Macaca mulatta: one gene and its partner. The protein of the gene in region 1 interacts with the protein of each later gene in a pairwise test. Links are inferred from orthologs where the notes say so. Each region holds a gene or a part of one and is shown in the gene's direction. Other genes may lie near its edges. The genes, in order: EHD3 and MICALL1.

Region 1 (4,246 bases):
CTCACGAGAACTCACTCAGTATCATGAGAACAGCATGAAGGAAACTGTTCCCATGATCCAATCTCCTCCCACCAGCTCTGTCCCTAGACACGTGGGGATTACGGGGATTACAATTAGAGATGAGATTTATGTGGGGACACAGAGCAAAACCATATCAATCTCCAACCTCTTGCTCCTCCAGTCCCTGCCCCCGACACTGCTCTTGGCATTCCAGTCCCTGCCTGGTCCATAACCTCCTCCTTCTTCATCTGTGAAAGGGAGGGTAGTGGGAGCCATCAGCCTGGGCAGGGAAGAGTGTTTTCTCACTATACTGTTTAGAATGGTGCCAATACAAAGCACATCAACTTTCAGCCAGTTTATTACTGGGTTTAAATTCTCTACACACAATGCACTGCTTTTGCCTACACCTGAACGGTGTTCCCACTCACTCTCCTTGGTGTGATGCCGGAGATAATATGATCTGCTATGAAGGTTAAATAAAGCAATGTTCACTGAGAACTCAGCCCAGGCCCCTGTACATGCTGAGCATTTTGTTAATGTAACAATGATTAGTAATAGCATTGTTATTGGTTCCTCATCTCTGGCAAAGCCTTCCATGCTTGGCCTCCCTCACTCTCTTCCACCTTCCTAAACCCTACACTCCAGCTATGCCAAACAGTTTACTCTGCCTTAGACACACCAAGTTCTCCCATGTTCCTCAAGCCTTTGCAAATGCTCCTTATGCTGCTAGAATAATGAATGTCAATTCATCATTTAGGATCCAGCTTACAGTCATGCTTTCCGTGAAGCATTCCTCAAATTAGCCACACAAAAGGAGTGAATCCTCCCTGTATTCCCATGGCCCTCTGCTCATGCCTCCTCTTTAAAGCCTGCCTTCACTGGAGTTCCTGGAAGGAAGAGTCTGTTCAGCACTCATCTCTGTATCCACAGTCACCAAAATTGTATCTGCCCCATAATAAATGCCCAATACTTGCAGGGATTTTGCTTGTTGGCTTGTTTTGTTTTGCTGGAATGAACGAATAAATAAAAGGGAACGATTATGACTTCACCCTAAGCCTAGCTAAAAGTTTGGGTAGTGACAGTTTTGGTCATTTTGTGGAACCTGATAGCGGATCCTTCTTTCTATGCCAAAAAAAAAAAAAAAAAATCCCAAATAGTAGAGTACCTGTTTTCCTAGGGAATTGACCTCAGCAACCGAAGGAGAGGCGATTCAATGCAGGGAGGGTGATGAACAGGTCAACTCTGTCCTCGCAGCCGTCCCTGAGAGGGCGCTGTTCCCAAATCGAAGCCCCAGAGGCGGAGACTGAGACATCGGCGCTCTCCCCCGGGACTGGGTCAGCATCCCTCTACCCGCGCGGCCGCAGGTCTGGAGCGGAGCGCCTGCCCACAAACATGGCGGCGCCCTGCGCGGCTTCCCGTCGCCGGGACCGTGGGGCCGGCCCTGCCTTGCCAGTACTCGGGGACTTCCTCCGCGCTCCGGCTTCCTGCCCAGCTGGCATTTAAACCAGCGCCTGGGGCTGCAGGATGCTGCTGCGGATGCGGAGCTGTCCGCGGGCTGGGCAGCGTCGCCGCCTCCCCTGAGCCGCCTCGGTCCGGCAGGAGCGGAGCCGAAGCATCCCTTGCTGCACGCAGGGCAGAGCAGGCAAGGGCTGGGGGCCGATCGGGGACCCCGGCATCTGGCAGTTTCCTTGCAGGTTCGACTTTAATTTCCAAGATTGCACCCCTCCTCCTCTAGCCCAGATCATTAATCCTCCCTCCGGCCTGGGCTGCTGGATGCAGCGGCGGCCGGACTTGGTCCCAGGAGCAGGGAGAGTGCGCTCCCGGCCCTCCTAGCCGCGTGCCCGGGCCATGGTGCGGCTGAGCTCCGCGCTTGGGTGAGGCGGCGGCGCGGCTCGGAGCCCGGTGGACCGGTCCTACGGGACATCTTTCCCTGAGGAGGAGTCTTCCCCTGGGGCTGCGTGCCGGGGACGAGCGGCGGCCGCGATGTTCAGCTGGCTGGGTACGGACGACCGCCGGAGGAAGGACCCCGAGGTTTTCCAGACGGTGAGTGAGGGGCTCAAGAAACTCTACAAGAGCAAGCTGCTGCCCTTGGAAGAGCATTACCGCTTCCACGAGTTCCACTCGCCCGCCCTGGAGGATGCCGACTTCGACAACAAGCCCATGGTTCTGCTGGTGGGCCAGTACTCCACTGGGAAGACCACCTTCATCAGGTGAGCCGGCCCAGGGTCCCGGCAGCCCACCCCGGAGCCCAGCACCTAGTCCCTCCGGTCACTCCTGGTGCTCCACTCCTGACAGGGGACCAATGGGAAGCCTTCAGTTGAGGGCTCTGAAGATATATGTGTGTGTGCAGGCGTCAAAATCTTACCCCATAATTTTTGCTGGTCCCCCTTCCCATGCTACCCAATACCTGTACACTCTACTTGGCCCTTGGCTCTAGTGGTCAACCTGAAGTATTCAAGTGTAAAGCCATTCCTGGTCTCCCCATCTTATGGATGATGAAATCGAGCCCCAGGAGGCACAATGGAAGAGCTCCTGGTCTCTGGAGCGCCTCATGCTGGTGGGGATGTCTTGCATCTTCACTTTTTAGAAACACATCATTTCGGGCAAAACCTCTTCCCTTGCTTTTCAAGGGGCTTGGCACTCACTTGGGGGCCTCACAGTTGCAGCTGAGTTCTGATGGGTGCAGGCCTGGGGACGGAGGTGGCCTGGGGATGCTACTTGTCCTTCTTTTATCATTTCCTTCTCTAAAGCAGAGCTCCTGTGTATATATGTATCTTGGAGACTCGACGGAGTCCAGAAGCAGAATGTTTTTTTTTTTTCTTTTCTCTTATTTGATCTTAATGGCTCGATAATAATATTAAAGACTCTTAGAGGTGGAAGGGATATTGGCATTGTCTCATCCAGTTCCTGACTTTGCAGGTGAGATAACTGAGGCACAGAGAAGTTAAATGAATTGTGCAGAGCCATCTAAAGAGTGGGCAGCAGACCTGGGATCTAAGTCCTAGATGCATGTGAGGAGATGGTTGGCTAAACGCCTGTAACTCTGAGAGTGAGTCATCCATTCCCTTCAGTTACAGAATCCATGGGCTGGAGAGAAGCTCAAGAAGTCAATTTGTTCACCCTGCATTCAGAGAGGTCCACCAGAGGCCCTTCCTATCTTTAGATAACAGGCTTCTCTCCAGTCGTCAATCCTCCCAACTTCAAGGCCGGCCATTTTTCTTGGCCTCTTTTACAGCCATTCCAAACTGTTGAGAATGCTGTGGCCCTCTGTCTTAAGAGTCAGGCTCCCACAGACTGAGAATGGAGTTTGGTGGACCCCCAAAGTCAAGCGTGCTCATCTCCTGCAGAGGGTTTGGAAAGCAGGGGTACCCGTGTTCCTATTCCTTGGCTGTCTGAGCATCCACAGCATGTGAAATGCTGTGCTTTGTTTGGTGAGGAGAGCAGAAAAGTTAACAGTCTAGTTACTAATTTTCTAGGTACTAATTTTCTCTAACATCGACCTTGTAACACAAGCCTTCTGGAAGTAGCACCATGCTAATAGGTGATGTCTAAACACAACACCACATTGAGTTTGTCCTTGTGGAGTACACAGCCTAGGGCTCAGCAGCTTTAAGAGGCCAAGTGATTTCTGAAGGAGTTTGGGAGATGGGCCTGTTGGCTCTTGTATGTTTTGTATTGATAGAACTGCAAGAGGCCTTTGAGATTAATCTAATCCATTGCTTCTTAACTTTCTATCTTTAGAAAAATGTACATGCATCCCAAATTTGCATATAATGTTGGGAGTGCAAGGGCCATCTTTGGACTTCAGGGTGGGAATCCCTGATCTAAGCCATGCCCCTTGTTTTATTAAGCACCCATTGCTGCCAAAGGCACTTCAGAGCTGCCTGGGTTGTGTGCAGGGTTTCCTTTGTGAGCCCTGGCCTCCACTTGGCCCATTCATGCCTCAAGGGAAATACAGGCCATTTGCAGATGGCCCTTGCCCTCTCAGCCTTCCCTGGCTCTCTGCACATATGGTATTTATAACCTTTCCTACATTATTTGTAGCTTCTCCTTCCTGGAGTACGATCACTGACAAGACAACATCCATGCCTTAGCATCTCCGGGGCCTCTTCCAGGGTCTCAGCTATAGGAGGTTCCCAGCAGACATTTTGCAGAATGGAAGGGAAGATGGGGAGAGGCGAGGATCCCCAAGCAGCAGACAGGTTTAAGTGCCTTTTGTCTGAGACACTCTACCGGCTTTGCCTGA
Region 2 (3,806 bases), on another chromosome or scaffold:
TGAGATCCGGCCACTGCACTCCAGCCGGGGCGACAGAGCCAGACTCCGTCTCAAAAAAAAAAAAAAAAACTGTGTAAGTAGAGGCACAGCTGGAGTAAGAGTTTCACAAAGCACTATTTGGCCTTTCTTGTATGATACAGTCTTATACATTGTATATTATTCTATTTCATTAACAAAACATAGCCGGGAGCAGTGGCTCACGCCTGTAATCCCAACACTTTGGGAGGCGTAGGCAGGTGGATCACTTGAGGTTAGGAGTTTGAGACCAGCCTGGCCAACATGGTGAAACTCCGTCTGTACTAAAAATACCAAAAAAAATTAGCCAGGCATGGCGGCAGATGCCTGTAATCCCAGCTACTCGGAAGGCTGAGGCAGGAGAATCGCTTGAACCCGGTAGGCGGAGGTTGCAGTGAGCTGAGGTCGCACCATTGCACTCCAGCCTGGGCAACAAGAGTGAGACTCCATCTCAAAAAGAAAAAAAAAGAAAAAGAAAAGAAATCACAAAACACCACCTGATTGGGTAAAACCTACCGCTTTATTTTCCTGAGCCACTCCTGGATGCAGCCATTCACTGAATGCCACCTCTCGGGGGGACCTTTGCTTCTTCCTCTTGCAGCATAAACTGAAGGCATGTTTCACAACTTCTGTTGCTGATTTTGTGTGATTTTGTGATTTTATTGTTCCACTATGCTTCTGACAGTTACTGTTTTCTTTATCCTCTGAGAAGTCTAGAGTATGAATCCTGGAGCTTGGCTGGCAGTTGGGAGGAGGGAAGGGAGGAAACAGCCCTGGGTGCGGCTGGAGGGGTAACCAGTGGCTGGGCCTGGTTGCCTGGCTAAGTGAACCCCTGTCCTGTCCCGTGCTAGGTGTCGGCGGTGCTCCAGCACCCTGCTCCCTGGGGCTTATGAGAATGGGCCCGAGGAGGGCACCTTTGTGTGTGCAGAACACTGTGCGAGGCTGGGCCCGGGGACACGGTCAGGGACCAGGCCTGGGCCTTTCTCACAGCCAAAGCAGCAGCACCAGCAGCAACTCGCAGAAGATGCCAAGGATGTTCCAGGAGGCAGCCCCAGCTCCAGTGCTCCTGCAGGGGCTGAGGCCGACGGACCCAAGGCCAGCCCTGAGGCCCGGCCCCAGATCCCTACCAAACCCCGGGTTCCTGGCAAACCACAGGAGCTGGCTAGCACCCCTGCAGGCCGCCCCACCCCCGCCCCCAGGAAGGCCTCCGAGAGCATCGCCCCACCACCCCCCACGCCCCGGCCCCGCTCCAGTCTGCAGCAGGAGAACCTGGTGGAGCAGGCTGGCAGCAGCAGCCTCGTGAACGGTGAGCAGGGTGCAGTCGGGGCAGGGTGCACTGGGTGGCAGTGCACTACTGAAGTCTGTGTGTCTGGGATTGTTTGTCGGCCCCTCTCTGTCTGTGCTGCTGTGTACTGTGCTGTGTTGGGGACTGCCTGTGTTTTTGAGGTTGTTATTATTTATTTATTTATTTATTTTGAGACGGGAGTTTTGCTCTTGTCCCCCAGGCTGGAGTGCAGTGGCGCGATCTCGGCTCACTGCAACTTCCGCCTCCTGGGTTCAAGTGATTCTCCTGCCTCAGCCTCCCGAGTAGCTAGGATTACAGGCATGTGCCACCATGCCCGGCTAATTTTGTATTTTTTTTTTTTTTAGTAGAGATGGAGTAGAGACAGGGTTTCTCTATGTTGGTCAGGCTGGTCTTGAACTCCCTACCTTAGGTGATCTCCCTGCCTCGGCCCCTCAAAGTGCCGGGATTATAGGCGTGAGCCACGGCGTCCAACCTATTACTATTTTTGAGACGGAATCCCACTCTGTCACCAAGGCTGGAGTGCAGTGGCACAATCTTGACTCACTGCAACCTTCGCCTCCCGGGTTCAATCAGTTCTCCTGCCTCAGCCTCCTGAGTAGCTGGGATTACAGGCTACCACAGCCCAGCTAATTTTTGTATTTTTAGTAAAGATGAGGTTTCACCATGTTGGCCAGGCTGGTCTCGAATGCCCGACCTCAGGTGATCTGCCCACCTCAGCCTCTCAAAGTGCTGGGATTACAGGCATGAGCCACTGCACCCGGCTCTTACTTTTTACTTTTTTTTGAGATGGACTCTCACTCTGTCATCCAGGCTGGAGTGCAGTGGCACAATCTTGGCTCACTGCAACCTCTGCCTTCCAGGTTCAAGCGATTCTCCTGCCTCAGCCTCCCAAGTAGATGGGACTATAGGGCCACACCACCATGCCTGGCTAATTTTTGTATTTTTGGGTAGAAACGGGTTTTCATCATGTTGGCCAGGCTGGTCTCAAATTCCTGACTTCAGGTGATCCACCTGCCTTGGTCTCCCAAAGTGCTGGGATTATAGATGTGAGCCACCGTGCCTGGCCTGTTTCTGAGGTTATTAATTCCTGCCACAAATGCTGAGTTCCTGCGGCCTCTGCTGTGCTCTATTCTCCATGCTGGGACGGTGCAAAGGAAACAGACCCAGGCCCCACCCCTATGCTGCCTTCCTCTGCATGCGCTCTTTTGCATCTGTTTTTGTGGGCTTTAGTTTCAGGGTGGGTAGTAAGTGCCACTCCAAGTGTGCCTGTGTGTCCCCGAGGTCTCTGGGACTCTGCACACTGGTATCCTTCCTGTGTGTCCTGGCCCATCCACAGGCACACCGCAGGTGACCTCCAAGCCCAGCCTCTATGCTTGCCCATGTCTGGAAGGGGAGACCTCAGGGGCTTGGGGGAGAGCAGAGGGGTCAGGTGGGCCCCGGAGCCAGTGTGAGCTGCAGTGGAGACCCCTGGCTCATTCTGTGGGTGCATTCTCCCCCAGCCCCACATTGTGAAATGCTCCCAGATGACCTCCCCGGATTTCAGTGAGCTTGTAGGATTGAGACTCCTTGTATAAGGCTGCTGGGCAGCCCTTATCATTCCATTAGGGAAGGCATTGGTGGCCACGGGGTGAGAGACTCCCAGGGTCACCCTGCGACTTGCACCAGAACATTCTGTTTGTTCAGCTCTCATGGAGGCTGGATCTGAGCTGGCCGCTGGGGACACAGAATACTGTTCAGGCCTATCTGTGCCTTCAGGGCGCTCCCAGCGTTGAGGTGGAGACAGGCACAGAGGCACGGGTTTCAGTGGATTGTGGAAGTCTTGTGAAGTTGGAGGAGGGGAGCAGGGGCTGTTGTGGGATTCGTGGAGGACGCTCAGGAGTCCGGGACTTCCAGGAGGAGGTGGCTCCCGGGCTGAACTGAGATGATGTTTTCCGCCCACACTGGGGGGGTGTCTGAGGGGATTTGGGTTGCGTCTTCTCAAATGAAATGCAAATGGGATCTCAGGTGGCCTGGCCTTGACCCCTGACTGTTCTCAGCCACCTGGGTGCTTATCTAATTTCCAAGGGCTGGGCTGGGGAGGTGCGAGGGTGTAGGAGGAAGGCGGGGTGCTCCTGGGGAGGCAGCTACTGTGGCTGGCTCCCTGGGTGCCCACCTCCTGCTGCCCATGAAGGCCTGGCTCACTATCATTTCCCATGTAGGAAGACTGCACGAACCACCTGTCCCGAAGCCGAGGGGGACACCGAAGCCATCTGAGGGGTATGTTGATCCCTGAGGGGCGTTCCTGCTTCAGAGGCCCTGGTGGTGGGAATTGGGGTACTCTGGGGCCGGGTGGGAGAGAGGCTTCCTGTGGATGAGCAGCGTGGGGCTCAGGAGGGGAAGGAGAGCTGGGCCCACACCCCCTCTCCTGAGGCTCACCCTGGGATTCTTGCAGCCACTGCCCGGCCCCCTCCCCAGGTGCCTGGTCCTGTGGGCAGTACCCGGTGCA

What was found.
Region 2: the proteins of EHD3 (region 1) and MICALL1 interact in binary tests that used the Homo sapiens proteins (3 or more experiments, as listed by UniProt). The link is inferred for Macaca mulatta from reciprocal best matches to the Homo sapiens genes EHD3 and MICALL1.

What each region holds. Positions count from the first base shown.
Region 1 is NC_133418.1:93,692,172-93,696,417, reverse strand, and holds the start of EHD3 (EH domain-containing protein 3), read left to right. Parts: upstream 1-1,385; 5' UTR 1,386-1,983; coding exon 1,984-2,210; intron 2,211-4,246. UniProt on the Homo sapiens protein: ATP- and membrane-binding protein that controls membrane reorganization/tubulation upon ATP hydrolysis. In vitro causes tubulation of endocytic membranes. Binding to phosphatidic acid induces its membrane tubulation activity.
Region 2 is NC_133415.1:13,579,048-13,582,853, reverse strand, and holds part of MICALL1 (MICAL-like protein 1), read left to right. Parts: intron 1-434; exon of another isoform or gene 435-866; coding exon 867-1,321; intron 1,322-3,519; coding exon 3,520-3,577; intron 3,578-3,806. UniProt on the Homo sapiens protein: Lipid-binding protein with higher affinity for phosphatidic acid, a lipid enriched in recycling endosome membranes. On endosome membranes, acts as a downstream effector of Rab proteins recruiting cytosolic proteins to regulate membrane tubulation.